3 linked regions of the Xenopus tropicalis genome follow. The main gene of each other region encodes a partner of the protein of the gene in region 3 in a complex. Links are inferred from orthologs where the notes say so. Each region holds a gene or a part of one and is shown on either strand. Other genes may lie near its edges.

Region 1 (5,918 bases), on a different chromosome or scaffold from region 3:
CTCTGTACAATAAATGATAGAAAAAGTCATGTCACACAGCAGGATGGGTAGCCAGCTTTATAGCAGCAGCTGGATGTAAGATCATTTTATAGTAATGGGCAGCAATTCCACCAACCACTGGAACTGTTCAGGGAAAAGGACTGGGATGAAGGTAGGTACACTATGAAAAAAGAGCCATTTAAAAACTCTTTAGTACCCTTCCGCCCTCTTTACAGGCTATAGATCAAAAAACATTTCAACTTATTACTTGGCTTATGCTAGCAGAGTTAGCATAGTTGGCAGAAATCCAATAAGGGCTTTAGATAATTTGGACAAAGTGGGGCCCCCCACACAGAAGTACTGTATGTGACCCAGTACATACTAGGCCATGCTAGGTCATTTCAATTGTGTTAACGGCATAGCATGTAGGGGGACTTTAATAAAGAGATTTACTATTTACATTGTAGCAATGAACAGAGGTCGCCATCTTGCATCATCTGTAAAATGAAATACGCTCGGAGCCCCTTAGTCTTGTTCTAATGGGAAAAGCAAAGTAACCAGTAATATATTCCAAAAGTCTAAAGAAACCCTGGATATCTATGCACACCTTAATTAACCCAGAATGTGTGAATGTCTTCTGTAAAAACATGTCATAAAGTACATTTCAAAGTACAATAAAATCACAAAATAAAGCAATAAAAACAGTGACAATGGTTGTGAAAAATTCACACTTCCATGTGTCTCCCTGTGCAATTAAAGGACAAGGAAACTCCTAAAAGTAAAACTTTAGCAAGCAATTGGCCACCATTATTCCTTGAGAACCCAATATTTATTGTGCAAAACCCTTTACTTTTTATGCAGCACTCCTTACTTAGATTGGCAGTGACCATATTGCCTCTGCCAGCTTTATCCTCCTGGCCAGGGTGTTGATCCATGCATAACTTTTATATGCTGGAATGTTTACATCATGTTTGGGTCATGATGGTATTCAAATTTCAATATTTGTATGTATGTGCATGCTTTTAGTACTACCACAATTCAAGAAATTAGCTGAAAATGTTTTTATATAGAAAGCTTTCTATAGAGGGGGGAAAGGGTATTGAAGTAAATATATATAAAAATATTTCCAACATTTCATACGGTAGCTTCAAATAATCTCTTCAATTTAAAAATCCAGACTTGTCTTGAAAAATCCACTGGTGGAGGAAATAGCTGGCCACCTCAGTCATACAAAAATGTGGTTGCGTTCCGAAAGTAAAAACATTTTACTGTCCGAACAATCGTGAACGGCGCAAAAACCTTTCTGGCTTTGATACTTTAATGTATGATTTTTTGCAATGACTATGACCATTTGGGAATTTATTCAAGCTTTGAAAAGTCGTGGAATTTTAACGAAAATATTGTGGACATAACGAAAAGTTTTATAAATTAGAAAAAATACGATTTTTTTCTGAAAAAAAAAAATCTGATTTCATGTATGGACCCCTTAACCATGGGCTATAATTAAGAGTCAGATGCACTTGAAAGATACTTTCAACGTATGTTACATACAGTGGCAGCTGCTAAGGTTTGCTGGGACCTATGAATATTTGAAGTTGAAGTTCAAGTTGTACTGAGATTTGTAGAGTTAAAGGAACAGTAACACCAAAAAATGAAAGTGTAAAAAACTAACTAAAATATAATGTGCTGCTGCCCTGCACTGGTAAAAGTTGTGTGTTTACTTCAGAAAGTCTACTATAATTTATATAAATAAGCTGCTGTGTAGCCATGGGGGCAGCCATTCAAAGGAGAAAAGGCACAGGCACATAGCAGATAACAGATAAAACACTATTGTATTCTACAGAACTTATCTGCTATGTAACCTGTGCCTTTTCTCCTTTTTTCCAGCTTGAATGGCTGCCCCCATGGCTACACAGCAGCTTATTATATAAATTATAGTAGTGTTACTGTAGCAAACACACCAGTTTACCAGTACAGGGCAAAAGTGCATTATATTTTGATTACTTTAAAGCTCTTTTATTTTTTGGTGTTACTGTTCCTTTAATAGCAATAGACCACCAGCTTTTCAAAAGCTCTGATTTGCATTGTAATAGGGTATGGAGTATTTTTCTGCTACCCAGTGCTTTATTTTGGAATGTATCACGCCAAATCTCCAATATTCTGTTGTAGTATATGGCAGGGGGTGGTGTCACCTATGTAGAACATCTTTTGTTAATATCAACTCTTTTTGCAAAGCGATTATAAGGCCTTCGTGAGCATTTTATTTGCAAATTCCATAATATAGCAGGGCCATCATTCTTAACTTTCATTTGCTTTGACTCACGCTTTGAACACAACCAATCCGCAGTTTGGGGGCAGCCTGCAACTAGCTCAATTGCTCCGCCCATTCCCTCACTCGGCATCTGCAGCGCAACGGGAGGCGGGGCATAATGTAGAAGAAGAGTGGATGCTTTCGGGTGCGTCTTTTAAAAAACCGGAAGTACGTCGGAAAGAGAAGCCGGTGCGGGTCTGAGAAGGATGTGATAGGACTGGAGCGAAAAATCGGGGTTCGGGTGAGTTGGCATCGGCCAGCGAGTTTCGCGGTCACCTGTACTGGTGTTTATACTATAATTTCTGTGTGACACACGGCAGCTTGTTTCCCATCAGGCCTTGCTATCACTACAGACTATTGCCTTTGCGTTATGTATTGTTGTCTACCTGGCAACCCTGAAGTTTGATATGTGTAATGGGCTTAATGGCAAATTCTTAGTTTCATGTATAAGTGAGGTTAGAGTTTGCAGCTCATACATTCCCAGTATGTTTGATGTCAGTGTAGCATTGTAATCTGTGTAAGTTGGTCAGTATCCTGCCCCTTCACCTCCCCCCACTCCCCCAGCTCTTTATGTCCCTGACTTGTTGTGAAGTGCTGTGCATGACAGTGCTTAACATGTAGAAGAAATAAATGTTTTTTTTATCAGAGCCACAGGCCAGAATAAAATCAGTTAGTGCTTCCCTTGTGGTGGGACACACAGTGCCCTGCATAATAAATATAACAAACGTTTGTTCATTTGTAACATCACAAGACCAGTTTAGCCCATGAGTTGCGCTCGCTGCTAGCTGTATTGCTTCAGTTTTGCGCTTTTTACAGGAATTTATGAGATGGAACATTTAGTTTACCTAGGAATATTGTATTTTTCAGGATATCCCAAGTGTAATTCCACTTCCATAACAAGATAAAGCACTTAACAGTCAAAGACAATTAAAACATTAACTGTTATTATAATACAGGTGCTGGGTGTATAATACACCCAGCACCTGATCTGGGAATCAGCACTTATATTGTAGTGTCACCCACTGTGACCTACAGCCCTTATACTGCATTTTCTTATTTGTGTCTGTAAGTTACCCTCCCATATAGATTGTAAGCTCTACAGGGCAGGGACCTCCATCCTCTTGTGTCTTTGACTCTTATTGCAACTGTATTTATCTTGTATCTATCTGTATTGTTGTACTTTGTATTTGTCTATTATTATCTTAATAATCCCCTGTTTGTATTAATGTATTCTACTGTACAGGGCTGCGTGCATAAGTAGCGCTTTATAAATAAAGATATACATACATACATAAAAACAAACTAAACATTTTATTATATACATGTAAATACAGGGAAAACCCTGTGTCTCTACAATTAATATATATAGTTTTATGGACTTTCCTGGATAGATCAGAAACTTCATTAGTGGGTTTTCAAAGCCCCATTCTAAAAATCAGTATAATTTAAAGTGGCCATACATAAGCCCTAAAAATATCCATTGGTTAGGTTTGAAATCCCGTTAGGCAAGGACAACATTGCCATATTGATGTGGTCCTTAGCCAAGGTAGGTTTGCTGTCTGACTAGCACCACTTAGAGAGCTCAACATGTTTGGACAGTTTGACTATTTCTGACTAATAATAGAATTAAAATATGACTATCTACTCAACACAAACTATGAAACTGCAAAGGTTTGCTAAAGTATTTATGACTTTTTTGAGTCTACTCTAATCTTTAATTTTTCACATCTTATCTCAGACATGTCCTTTGATATAAATATAACCTATCCTAAAAATTAATGGCAGCAGTCTTCTGAACAGTTTAAAGCTTATGATTACCTAAGTGTGGTTTATGGAGACCCCAATATAAAAATAGTGCTTATGCATTTCTTGGTTGCTGCTTCAGCTCCTGTAAATCCTGCTTTTCCCATACACACAGTGCAGACAAACTGACCATATAAAAATGAATTTTTAAAATATACATTTTGACAAATCTAAAATGGGAAAATGTCTGTTCCAAAATTTAGATTTATATTCTGATAGTTTTGAGAACAATTAAAAAAAAAAAAATTCCACTTAACTATAGAGCATTGTATCCCATTTATGTGTATAAATACAAAGATAAAACATGCTAAAGTCCAAAGGATAAAACTATGGGAGCCTGTAAATGAATTGAAAATGCTACACACTATTTTACTAGCCAAAACAATGCCTCAAAACAATATAAAAAAAAAAAATTGCAGAGTGGGATCAGTGGTCAAAATCAAGCTTCCACTTTCTTGCTTGTTTGTGCCTGTAAAACGTTAATTGCACAGCAAGACAACAGTGATGCCAGAATAAAACAAGTCACAACACCGTGTGATTGGCATTCATGCCAGTGATACGCACATGACCATGTACACAACTTTCCTATCGTTAATGCAGTACAATAATATTGTTGGAAATCTTTTTTCCTATTTTCTTTCTAATGGCACATGTTTAAGCTGGCTGAGAAGAGTACTATGTGCTAGCTCAGCCTATTGCAAACTCTAATGTGCTACACAAAGAGCAGTATTATACTGTAAGGCTTATGGGGACACTGGGCTTTTGTATCAGTTACTATTTTTTCAGAGGAACATTGCTGAGACAAAGTGTTTTTCTTGAAGTAATAACAGCCTGCATGTTCTCTGACCATAGTAATTCTAATATATTTCTCACAATACTAAGCTTTGTCTTTCCTTGGGCAAAATTAAAGAAAACTACCCATGCAGACTATAAAAAGACTAGTAAGTGCTTGCCTCCTACGTTTGGACCCACAGCTGCTTCCATCGATATCTGGTCACATCACAGTCAAACGGTAAGTTTAGCCTGTGACTTGCACAGGTGGCCAAAGCTTTAAAAGATCTACGACAATATTGTCCATTGATAATGTTTGTTATGTTCTGAAGTGGTTACTGCTAACTGGTACAGATAATAGTATGATTGTTTACTTTGTGTGTTTGCAGATACGTGAACATATTTACTGCAGCCTTCTCATGGAAATATTACCATGGATGACTTAGAAAACAACATCTTTAATTCTGTGGAGGAAGAGATCATTTACTGGAAAAGTGTGGCAATGAAATATAAGACATGGTATGCCATTTTACGAGTAGAGTCCTTCAGCATTAGCACATACTGGGAATACATTATAATGTGCTTTATGCTTCTTCCTATAGCTCTGAGGAAGCCCAACAGGAGCTGCAGGAGTTTCAGGAGGCCAGTAGAGAATATGAAGCAGAGCTAGAGGCTCAGCTCCAGCAGATTGAGGGTAGAAACAGAGACCTCTTCTCTGAAAACAACCGTTTGCGAATGGAACTTGATGGCATTAAGGTAATTAACATATCTGTGGTTTTAAAATCTTTTAATGGCAGCCTAGTTTAGAGTATCTTCGGAATATATTCTGTATAACCTTACAGGACAAGGAAAGCTGTTACGGTTTGCCAAATAGTTATGGAATCTCAGTGGCCCTCATTGTTTGCCTCTTACTCTAAGCTGGCACCTTTCTTTCAGGGTTGCCTGAAAAGCTGGAGGAAGATGGCAGTGGTCAGCCCTGCTAAAAACTGCCCTGAGCTGGTGCACTTTTTTTTTTTTTTTTTTTTTTTTTTTAAGAGGAGTGCAGGCCCAGGTT
Region 2 (5,802 bases), on a different chromosome or scaffold from region 3:
TTGTATACTTATACTCTTGACATTTCTATGTATCCTTCTGGCAACAGTTTGGGGAAGGCTTTTCATGTTTTAGCATGCTATGCTCCTTGTGCACAAAGTGATGTCCATACAGAACTTGTTTCTATGTCTTAGTAATTGGTCTAGTGCTAGACTGAAGAAGAAAGGAGACAGTGGCAGGCATGTTTGGTGCCTTTCTTTATGGCAAATTTGTCTGAGTTTAAGTTGTTTACAGTGAGGAAGGTAGATAGATCTAGGTTAACTAAAATTCCATGTTTGTGTTTTTCTATGTTGTGTAGGTATACTGAGGCTAAGATTTGGCGCATAGCTTTTATCAAGTGGCGTCCTTTTGTACATCACAATTGGATGGGTGGGGCCACAAAGGCCCGGGCCTAGGGAGGCACAAATTTGGGGTTGGTATGCCACCCAAGCCGCGCTGAAATTTAGCTCACATACGAAGCAACGGGGACCTTGCGTGTGCGGCAGGAGGGATATTTTTTTTTCTTAAAATATCCATATTTTGTCATTTATCTGCTCCTTCTTGAAGATTGTTCTATCATAAATGTTTTGGCCCACCAATTTTTGCCTTGCACTGGTACCTTTAAGCAGCCCTGTTTGGCCCTCTGGGGATTCTCTTTTTGGGAGAACTCATTCTTTCATTTGGCTCTTTCACTTTTATGCAGGTGATATTCAACTATATTTGTTCCCCCCCAACTAAACACTGAGACCCAGATCTCAGCCTCCCAGCTACAGGGTCGGACTGGGCCGCCGGGACAAATCCCTTTGCCGGCGCTCCCCCTACTGACTGTTCCTCCCCTGACGCGTTCAATTTATACGCACTAGGGGAGGACGTCGGGTGGGGGCCCTGGGGAGGGTTAGGGGGGCCCCTGGGGGGGTAGGGGACACGGCTGGCTGAGGCACCTGCAGGGCCCCTGGGGCGGGAGCCCTGGTGGGCCCTGCACTCCCCAGTCCGACCCTGCCCAGCTATCTCCACCTCAAATTAATCTTAACACTGAGCTGATAGTCTTTCCATACAAACCTGGCCATATTCCACCTATATTCATAGAACTCATCAGCACACCCTGGTCTTTCTTCTAGTGTCCGTCCAGTGCTTGGTGTATTGTGAAGGTTTGGCATCCTCCGCTCTCTTGGAATACTCATGGCATGTTCACAAAATCAGTTAAATCAGTATGCATCCTGATGCTAATCTTTGACTTATCATTCTCTAATCATATTAATGCCACTAACAAGATCGAACCTTTCTCTCAAGATATAGAAATGTCTTCCACTAATCTAGAAAGCCCTTCACTCCTTACACCTTACTACATCTCTCTCTTGTGTCACTGTTTGTTTTCTTCAGTCCTCACAGAGCCAGTCTTTACACACCACCCATGTCCTTTGCCTCTGCTATCCTCTGCCTTTTATCTTGCTACTTCTTACCTCTGGAACCGCCTCTTTAAATTTGTCTATAACAGGGATGCCAATCTAGACCAAAGGGTGTGTCTTGCTCCACTTCCAACTATTATCCTGATCTGCCCAGGCCAAGTTCATGCTTTCTGCTCCAGCTGCTTTTGGGAATACTGGGTGCAACTTTATGTTTTTCAATGGTGGGTTAGGCAAAGGGTTTTGGTGCAAAATCCTGACATCAGGTGATTGGCCTGTAAATGCTGGTGACTAAATGAATGGTGTTTAAGTTCATGTGACTCCTGACAATTTCAGGCGAGATGACACAGCTTCTTTAAGGAGCGCAACCTCTTCTAATCTAAACTCCAGCCTGCCTGTCAGAGCACTAGCCCAATCTTTGCACTTACCAGACAGTACTGTAGCCATTTTGAATAGCAGAGCTTATTACTCTCCTATTTGCACCTCTATGTTTTCCACCCACTTAGGCTAAAGTCACACACAGTTAAGGTTGCCACATTTTATGATCTTACTGGCCAGGGTGGGGAGCGGGTCTACCAGGTGGCAGGTCTGTGACACTGGGTGGGGTTGTGATGTAAGTGAGGGCAGGCTGTGACCTTGGTGGAAATAGGGATCAAGACAGGTTAGAAAGGGTTGAAATACTGGCTGGGTGGCAACCCTACACAAAGTGTGCTGAGAAGCCCCCTGTCCTACCACCCTGTCACTTTACACAGGGTATTTTACAGCCCAAAACCCACACTTGGAAACCACTATGTCTGACATTAACCTCAGAGTGTAAATTCAGTGGGTAAGGGACCTCAGCCTATGTCTCTCAGCATATGCCACTTAACATTTTAAATTTATATTTACTCACTGCAGTGTTTGTACTTTTACTTATGGTAAAAAAATTATACCCTCTACATACAATTATACACATATACCATTTCATGTGTTACAGTCCAGGCACACCTTCTACACTGATTCAGAAACTCATTAGGTAGGAGCCCAAACAGCCACACATGACGCATCCGAAAACAATTCCTCCGTAGCAGCTCCACACCTCTGGCCAATTGCGCGGGAACCGTACCGCTGTGCGCGGCCCCGCGCGTCAGGGGGCGCGCTTTGACGTCAGGAAGTGTCGCTGTGCTCTCGCCTCGGCAGCTGCTGCTAGAATTGAGCCTGCAGAGGAGGGGAACAGAGAAACAGCAAACATGGCAACGGGAACGGCAGGTGAGAGAAGGGACAGGGAAATGACTACTGTATATGTATGCGAATAAATGGAAACAGTAACTGCACTATGATACAAATGGAGCACGACCTTTACTTGATAACTCAAAATAAATCTGTATTTTTTTGCAGAGGCAGATACCAGGCAGAAGCTGCTGAAGACAGTGAAGAAGGAGGTAGGCGATAGAAGCAAGCATCGTTCTCTACAACAGTGAATGGTTTCTATGTTTATGTCTCTTAGTGTGCAGCTCGGTAGAACACTGTGGACATGGATACACATATCTGTAGCTGTTTAGCCCCATTCTGTTGTCTATTAGTGTGGGACTGGGCGTGTTTTCATTGACACAGCTGGCAGCCCTTGGTCACTCGTGTGGCTCATAATACTGTTACTCCCTCCTGTCCACATACCCTTTGGTGGGTTGTATTGCCTAAGGATGAAGTCTAACCTTTAGAAACTCACCTGGCCCTCAGGGGCCCTTTACAAGTTGTACATTTGTATTCCCAGTAAATTGTTAAATACTATGCATTGCCCTTTACCCCCGCCCCTTGTCCCCTGGAATAATGAAACACTATTCACAGCAGCTGGGGGTACAGAGGATACCTGCCCTGCATTGAGAATTTACTGCTCAAGAACCTAGATGTGGTGTGATCAACCTGAAGGCAGTCCCTCCACATCCCCTTATCAGCCAAACAGCATTTTGGGGGTGAGGTTGCTGGGAGTTGTATTTGTGGACTTCTGGGCAAACATCCTTGACATGACTGGATTACTGAAAAATAATTTAACCCAAATCTACGCTGTCACAGCATTTTTGCAAAAAATAAGTAGTGCAGCGTTTGCCATTGTGGCTTGTAAGAAATAGCAAAGCAGCAGAAAAACATGTCTGATAGCAGATAGTAAGGTATGCGCACTGTTAAAGCCAAAACCATAACCATCACAGTCTCAACTGTTTTTGACAAATAATTTCCTAGAATTAGGTTTAATGGTATAGACACCCTTTTCATTTTGTCACTATGGCTGATTAATATATAATAGGCTTTCTTCTGTGGGGGCAAAATGTGACTATTATTGTATTTACAGTAATTACATGCCAGTCAAGTAACAATCATGTATTGTGTTTCACCTGTTCTCCCAAAGCAGGGATGTACAGTATAACCAGTGTTCCTCCTATTGTTTATGCATTGCTACTTCCAGCATCTGTGCCAAAGATGGGAGTTGAGATTAACATTAATTGAGTTGGGAGTGAATATGCTTGTCTTTTGATACACTTTTTTTCAGAATTCCATTGGCACATCAGTGATACTTGATACATGCTAATTATTCTTTATTGAAATGGTCTGAGGTATTAGTTGACTCACCATATGCCATAGATTCATCTGACAGGTTAGATATACCTACACACCCTGGGTAAGCCATAGGATACCTGTGATTTGTTCCGGAAGCAGCTTTTCTTGCTGGTCCTTTCTGGTATGTCCTACTCATTGGCTTCTTGTAGCCAAGTTTTTCACAGAGATTTACAGGTGTTTAGATGTCATAATTTGCTAAATGTTATACAATTATATATATATGGGATTAAAACAATACAATACATGTATTTATATCTGTAATTCTTGATGTATTTATACTATGGGATAATACACCCTTTGTAGTTAGTGGGGGGGGGGTAGAAAAACAGTAACTTACCTGTTTATTTTGTAAGTGTATTACCCCCTTTGTATATGTTTTTACTATACAGGTGTGGGGATCTCTTGGGGAAACTCCTATATCCAGAAAGCTCCAAATTACAGGAAGGCCATCTCCTATAAGGTCCATTTGTAAGATGACCTGTCACCCCAAGAAATAATTCCAAATCCTTTTCTGTCATAAATTTACATTTTGTTCTCTTCAGTCTTAGAATCCACAATAGCAGCAAACAGGCATCATTTTGTGACAGTGTTATGAAAGCAAAACCTTTATGGCTGAATAAAAGAGTTAGGGTCGAGGTTGGTAATAAAAAACGTGCTTTTAAAGCATTCAAGTTAGCTGGGACAGCGGAAACTTTCATCAGGTACAAGGAAGCAAATAAAGCATGCAAAAAAGCTATCAGGCAAGCTAAAATAGAGATGGAAAGGGATATTGCAGCTAGGAGTAAAAAGAATCCAAAATTATTTTTTAATTATGTGAATAGTAAAAAAATGAAGCAAGAAGGGGTGGGAACTTTATTATCACGGGGGGGTACGTTGGTTGATGAGAACGGGGAAAAAGCAGAAATTTTGAACTCTTATTTTTCATCTGTCTATACATCTGAGGAGCCAGATAATGAAGGCTTCCCTTTTAATATACCCAGTGCTAGTAATTTAGCTACTGACGCGTGGGTCACTCAGGAGGAAATTCAAAAGAGACTTGAACATGTAAAGGTAAACAAAGGTCCAGGACCGGATGGGATTCATCCCAGGGTATTAAATGAGCTGAGCGCTGTGATTGGCAAGCCTCTTCACATAATTTTTCAGGATTCGTTGAGGTTTGGCATGGTGCCGAGAGACTGGCGGATTGCTAATGTGGTGCCGTTATTTAAAAAGGGATCTCGTTCTCAGCCTGAAAACTATAGGCCTGTTAGTCTGACATCAGTAGTAGGAAAGCTTCTGGAAGGGGTAATAAGGGATAGGATGGTTGAATACATTGCAGTTCACAATACTATTAGTTTGTGCCAGCATGGTTTTATGCGTAGCAGATCTTGCCAGACTAATTTAGTTGCCTTTTATGAGGAGGTGAGCAGGAACCTTGATGCTGGAATGGCAGTTGATGTCATCTACTTAGATTTTGCTAAAGCGTTTGATACAGTACCTCACAGAAGGTTAATGATCAAATTGAGGAATATTGGCCTAGAACATAATATTTGTAATTGGATAGAAAACTGGCTGAAGGATAGAGTACAAAGAGTGGTGGTAAATGGAACATTTTCTAATTGGGCCAGTGTGGTTAGTGGGGTACCGCAGGGGTCAGTCCTTGGTCCTTTGCTTTTTAACTTGTTTATTAATGACCTGGAGGTGGGCATAGACAGTACTGTTTCTATTTTTGCTGATGACACTAAATTGTGCAAAACTATAAGTTCCATGCAGGATGCTGCCGCTTTGCAGAGCGATTTGACAAAATTGGAAAACTGGGCAGCAAACTGGAAAATGAGGTTCAATGTTGACAAG
Region 3 (5,912 bases):
TCCAGATTTGTTTTTCAGGGGGTTGCATTGACATTACAAATATTAATGAATCAACATATTTATATATGAAATTCAGTTGCCTAAAGTTGAGTTACCAGTGAAAATATACACCCACCTTTTTGGCATGAGCTAATTCAGCTAGGTTTATGTAGAAAATGTGCATAAACACTATATCAACTTCCAAAAATAAATATAAATGTAGTTCTTGTAGTTGAAGATTAAAAGAAGATCAGTTTATCATTTAGGCTAATGTTGGTAACAAACAACCCCCATGCTGCTTCCTGGTCATTTGGGATACTGAGCAGCGCTAACACTATTCCAGCTGGCAGCCCTCATAGTATTTCCGCTGGCAGCTTTGGGAGGGAGAGGCGACAAGAATTGAGTGGCAGCAGATTGCTTATTTCATAAAAACCTGGCCCTCCTCCTCCTTTCACCATTACTATTGATGGCATGACCATCAACCCTGTAAATTCTGAACGCTGCCTTGGGGTTATCTTTGACCAGTCTCTTTCCTTCTCTAACCATATTAATAACACTGCCAAAACCTGCCGCTTTTTCCTCCGCAATATTGCCAAGATACGCCCCTTTCTTTCACAAGCAACAGCTAAAACACTAATCTATGCCCTTATCCTTTCCCGCTTAGATTACTGCAATCTCCTACTAACCGGCCTCCCAGACTCCCACCTCTCTCCCCTGCAATCAATCTTAAACTCTGCTGCCAGGATCCTCCTGCTCTCTCCTAAGAGGGATCCTGCCCAGCCTCAATTAAGCTCACTAGCATGGCTGCCTGTCAAGCAAAGGATAGCTTACAAAATCCTTCTGCTGACATTCAAAGCCCTTCACTCCTCTGCTCCTCACTACATTTCTTCACTGGTCTCCCTACATGTTCCTGGTCGTCTCCTCCGCTCCTCTCAGAGCCTCCGTCTCTTTACACCATCCACACCCACTGCGCTCTCTCGTCTTAAACCTTTCTATCTCGCTGCTCCTTACCTCTGGAACTCTATCCCTGAATCCCTCCGTAGGGAAAACTTACCCACTCTCTTTAAGAAAAAACTCAGCTGTTACCTTCTGGAGCACTAAAACATTATTTTGCCCAGTCCTGCGCTTAAGGGCAAATGCCCACACCTGGTGCACTCTTACCTTCCAGTTTGTGCCTGTATGTTACCCAACCACTTAGATTGTAAGCTCTACGGGGCAGGGACCTCCTTCCTACTGTGTCTCATACCACATGGCACTTATATATATATATATATACATATATGTATTTATTTATTATATCACTTGTCCTCCCTGTGTGTAATTTTGTATTCTGTAAGACTGTACAGCGCTGCGTACCCTTGTGGCGCTTTATAAATAAAGTTATACATACATACATAAAAATGGTTCTGTTTTCCTAAATTCAATATATTGCAAACCTGCTTCTTTTTAGGTAAAAAGCTGTAAATGCAATACATATCCTTTAATAGAGGAAAAAAGAAAAAAATATAAACTGGTATTTTTTCCCATAAAAGGTGGCAACCCTAATACAACCCCGTATGAAAAGGGGCTTTAGGAGTTATATAATGTAAGCAAAGAGCTGACTAGATCGTATAAATTGCACTTGTTAGTAAATATGCCACACAATCCTTTGCGCTAGTGCCCCTATTTATGTGTGCGCAACTGCCCTAATAGGATTGTTTTTCTAATTAGAAGGCTTGTCACATGATTTTAGGGTGGCAAGCGATTTAGAAACAGCTTTAACCATAAGTATCGGTCATGTGCCCATCGTTTGACGTCTCTGGCCAATAGGTTAACGTTTCTCACAAACAGAACAAGTAGGAAAGCTGCCGCAATGTCTCCTATTGGCTGTCCTACAGATCACGCCTCTGGGCACAAGGGCGCTCCTATTTCCGTATACGCTCTAGTCAAGTGACGCGAAGGCGGAGTTGTTTTCGCCATGTTTTCTCAGGCGATCCAGTAGGGGAGCTCGCTAGAGAGAAGGGTCCCAGGTAAACAGCGCGGGTGATGCCGGCGGGGATGAAATGACATCAGTTTTGATGCGCTGGCTATAACTTTTCTCATGAAGGAAATATTCGTGTTACATGTTTGTTTAGCTCGGTGTTACGCTAAAATACACTGGACATCGTTCAGTACTTCGGTGCAGTTTGGATCTGTATTTAGGAGTCGTGTTTGCTAAATATGCTTGTCTGATTTATACATTGATATGGAATTGTAAACCAAGCTCTCCATTATACAGGCGTTAATGCTTACAAATATTTCTGTGCTCACAAAGCCATAGCAAGTCCATAGCAAATATTTCTTTTAGTTTCTTTTCCTAGACAGGTATGAGCTTTATTTGGTTATCATTTGCAGATTGTTCATCACATTTACATCCATTCCCCAGTGGGATTTAGAATATGAGATGTCCTGCCTATCACATGCACGCAACCGGCTTGCTTCACTTTCATAGGGGGCTCTGTAACCTGGCTGTATATTTTGTTATCATTTATAATGTGGAAAGACTAAGCGATTTGCTGGATATGATGGAAAAGTGATTGCTGGACCAGCAGTTGAAAAGATAAAGCTAATGTTGGCTGGTTTCCTAGGGGTTAATATTTTGTCACTAGGACAGAAGTGCAGGATGTGACAGCACAGGCCTCAGATCTAGGGTGGCAATCAATCGATTGGTCTTATTAAGGAATCTCTATCAGCTAATGATTTAACATTTATATTTGTTTTAGAAATCTGAAAATGATCTGTTGTACTTTGAGACTGCTGAATGTAAAATGCCCAGAAATCAGGTAAGGTGTGATCGTCTTCTAGGACTACATGCCTGAAAACTCATCTAAATTTTTTTATACCCAAATATGCCTTCTCTTTGTTAGTTTTCCTTTAACCTGTTATATATAAAATATGTTCTAAATGAAAAGTTTAACTAGCATCAAATTTACATACCAATTAGTGACCCATCAAATAATCATATCAAATTGTCATATATATATATATCATCAGTAAATATATAACATTTTTTTTCTTAACCTTGAGACACTATTTTTGGATATTTTGTGTGCTTATTTACTGTGGCAGTGTTTCAGTATAGGATTATTCAGTGTCATTTGTTTCTATTTTTCATGATAGTAAGCTAAGATAATAGGGAGCATCTAATTTATAGTATATACAAAATATTAGAAATAAAATACACGTCTTTGGTTAAGAGCACTAGATGGGCTAGATTCTAGTATATTGATATATGTATATATTTTAAAACATCATGGTAAAAATGTATGTAATCTCAGCAAGTTTATGGAAGACATTTTGAATTTTAACTCTTTGGGAGGAGTCTCATACTAAAAAAGATAATGTTGTTTATTTCTAGATATATTTTGCAGGGTCAGCACTAGAGTGTCCTACCAAGCAATTATCAAGAGAGATTTTCAACAATAAATTTATTGTAGTAATCTTAAACTGTAATAGGTGTATTTTTCAAATATATTTTGGTGCCTAATGATCTCTGAACTGGTCAAATGGATCAATAACGACTTGGGTTTCATTTGTAATGTTGTTAAGATGATTTTATACCCATACCAATGTGGTTCATTGAATGTTGAAAATTCACTTTCCCCAAAGTTGCATTGTTCATACTGGTTTGGAGCCCAAAGCAGTTATAAGCTTTATGGCTGTGGGGATTTTTGTACTCATTTATTTGTAGGTGTGGATAGAATTGTCATTACTAAAATATAATGTCTCTGGAATTATCTGGAACTTTATGTACTGGATAATCACAAATGTGCCGGTAAAGTAAGTAAATTGTGCTAATTCATTTTATTCTCAATGTTCTCTCATTTAGTAGGACAGAGATGCTTTTGTTTAACTCTGGTACAGACAGTCCCCACTGTAACGTGTAGCACTTGTTACACTATGTTTCTGCAGAACTTAAATTTAACCAATAGGTGTCTGAAATTACTGGTGTTTAATTTCATTTCTTAATTGGTGATTTGCTGTATAATAAGGTAGCCGTTCTTGGAGTTTTGTTTTTGGAATAGGCACTAGGGGAAGGATTTGCAGATTGAGTAATTTTACCAGGCAGATCACATGCACCTGTCAGATGCACACTGCAGTACCGTATATACTCGAGTATAAGCCGATCCGAATATAAGCCGAGGTACCTAATTTTACCTAAGAAAACTGGAAAAACTTATTGACTCGAGTATAAGCCCCTCAATGGTGCAGCATGAAAAGCATCCATATACCGGTAAACAAAATCTTTAATCCAATAACTAAATATGGCATTTCTGTATTCTTTAAATACAGTAAATTGCTGTTCTGGATGTCACTTCAATGAATACAAAATTATTCTATATAAATTTGATAAAACAACTACTGTGCCACTAGCCATAGAGCTTAGCAAGTTATGTAAACCTCTCATAATATAGAGACCAGTACATCTCTCTTTTTTATTTTTTCATTCATGACTGTACATAAGCTGAGAAGAACTGCATGTGGGTACTTTTGATTTAATTAGGTGAGCAGTGATTATGTAAAGAGCTTCAGAGGGGCCTCTTGATATTAATATGAGTGTATTAAGCAAGGCTAGGGCCCACGGCTAGCACAAGGATATCGTAACCAACTTATACTAAGCATTTCAACAGTGTGGAGTAATGAAAAAAATTGCTCCAGTGGTAGCATTCTATGCCCATAAATCCGCAGGTAGCGGCATATTTAACCTGATCACTTGCTCAGTAGGTATCAGTTACCAGTCTAAGTAAGGCTCTGGTTAGAGGGAGGTGCCACGGTGCTGCTCTTTGTGTCACTTACTGTCATGTTGGCACTCAACACTAACTATATAGTGGGGCTCTGTGCTCTGCTAGGCTGTTCTGCTGCCGTTGTCCTGGCGTCCACAGGGGTCCAGGGAGGGGGGGGCTCGGGGGGGCTCCTCAATGTGTCCCTATGTGCTGCGCGCTGCACATAATGTAGCGTGCACGCCGCAGGCACAGTCTGCCTACGGCTCAGGGGCGCTCCTCCTGTGCTCCAGTGTGTCCCAAAGTGCAGCGGCGCAAAGAGCATAATGTCGCGCGGGCGCGCCGCTTGTACATGCTGCTGAAGGCCGCGCAACTACCGTATTCCATGTAGTTTGGGTGCAACTACCGTATATACCCGAGTATAAGCCGATTGTTACTTTTTAAGCACATTTTTAGGGCTGAAAAACTCGGCTTATACTCGAGTATATACGGTATATAGTTTTAAATAAAAATACTTTTTTTTTTTTATTTTTAAGCATCTTTTATTACTGTCTAATGAAGGCTATTTATTGTAGGTGTAAGTGTAATCCATTTAAGTAAGGATAGTCCCTCATGTTGGGTTGCTATCTTTCCAAGTGTATAAACCTAAACGGTGACATTGTGGGCCAGTAAGTGGAGGTGGCGTTTGCGGCAGGGTAATGAACAGTGTGGGACTGGATAGTTTGGCAAGTCCCTCTAGCAGCAGTCTGTCTGGGTCTTAGAACTCTGTAAGAGAAAACCTTTCACAGGTAGTAGTAGGACTGTTAACTTCTGCAGTACACCGCCAGTTTCTGTGAAATTTTTCTGTTGCCTTGATCAAGCTTGAGGTAGGTTTTAAGACACATGGTGCATTTTTTTTCTTCACCAAGCTACTATTTCTTCCCAGGAAGAGCATGAGGTCAGGAAAACATACATTGAGCTTAATTGTGTGCGCCTCTGTTTACTTAACCTGGCCAATGTCTTTGAACTGTAAGTAGTATACTGTCTTGTGCAACTATCTACTGGTGCAATTATATGCAGCCTGTTTCTGCTGAGCTGTTATACTGTGCTGCAGTGTTGTGTTTTTTGGACTTTCCCCTATTTCCCATTGAGGTCCTACATTTGATCCAGGCCCCTTTTGCTCACAATAAGGTTATAGATAAATACATTATTGTG

Evidence for each region. The genes of interacting proteins can lie anywhere in the genome.
Region 1: the proteins of rab9a (region 3) and nde1 are in contact, whole or in part, in a crystal structure (PDB 7E1T), measured with the Homo sapiens proteins. The link is inferred for Xenopus tropicalis from reciprocal best matches to the Homo sapiens genes RAB9A and NDE1. Residues at the interface, in NP_001182257.1 of Homo sapiens: Ile40, Val42, Phe44, Asn46, Gln59, Trp61, Arg68, Phe69, Ser71, Leu72, Pro75, Phe76; in NP_001137451.1 of Homo sapiens: Asp99, Gln102, Thr103, Ala105, Ile106, Gln109, Leu110, Tyr113.
Region 2: the proteins of rab9a (region 3) and sgsm1 are in contact, whole or in part, in a crystal structure (PDB 4QXA), measured with the Mus musculus proteins. The link is inferred for Xenopus tropicalis from reciprocal best matches to the Homo sapiens genes RAB9A and SGSM1. Residues at the interface, in NP_062747.1 of Mus musculus: Phe37, Thr39, Ile40, Gly41, Val42, Glu43, Phe44, Leu45, Trp61, Arg68, Phe69, Leu72, Phe76; in NP_766306.2 of Mus musculus: Leu256, Leu257, Tyr258, Gly259, Lys260, Asn261, Asn262, Tyr277, Asn294, Met297, Asn298, Gln361.

The regions. Positions count from the first base shown.
Region 1 is NC_030685.2:34,084,618-34,090,535, reverse strand, and holds the start of nde1 (nuclear distribution protein nudE homolog 1), read left to right. Parts: upstream 1-2,490; 5' UTR 2,491-2,531; intron 2,532-5,253; 5' UTR 5,254-5,297; coding exon 5,298-5,383; intron 5,384-5,466; coding exon 5,467-5,620; intron 5,621-5,918. UniProt on the Homo sapiens protein: Required for centrosome duplication and formation and function of the mitotic spindle. Essential for the development of the cerebral cortex.
Region 2 is NC_030677.2:147,514,003-147,519,804, forward strand, and holds the start of sgsm1 (small G protein signaling modulator 1), read left to right. Parts: upstream 1-2,374; 5' UTR 2,375-2,609; coding exon 2,610-2,628; intron 2,629-2,757; coding exon 2,758-2,801; intron 2,802-5,802. UniProt on the Homo sapiens protein: Interacts with numerous Rab family members, functioning as Rab effector for some, and as GTPase activator for others. Promotes GTP hydrolysis by RAB34 and RAB36.
Region 3 is NC_030678.2:105,779,710-105,785,621, reverse strand, and holds the start of rab9a (ras-related protein Rab-9A), read left to right. Parts: upstream 1-2,150; 5' UTR 2,151-2,780; intron 2,781-5,912. UniProt on the Homo sapiens protein: The small GTPases Rab are key regulators of intracellular membrane trafficking, from the formation of transport vesicles to their fusion with membranes.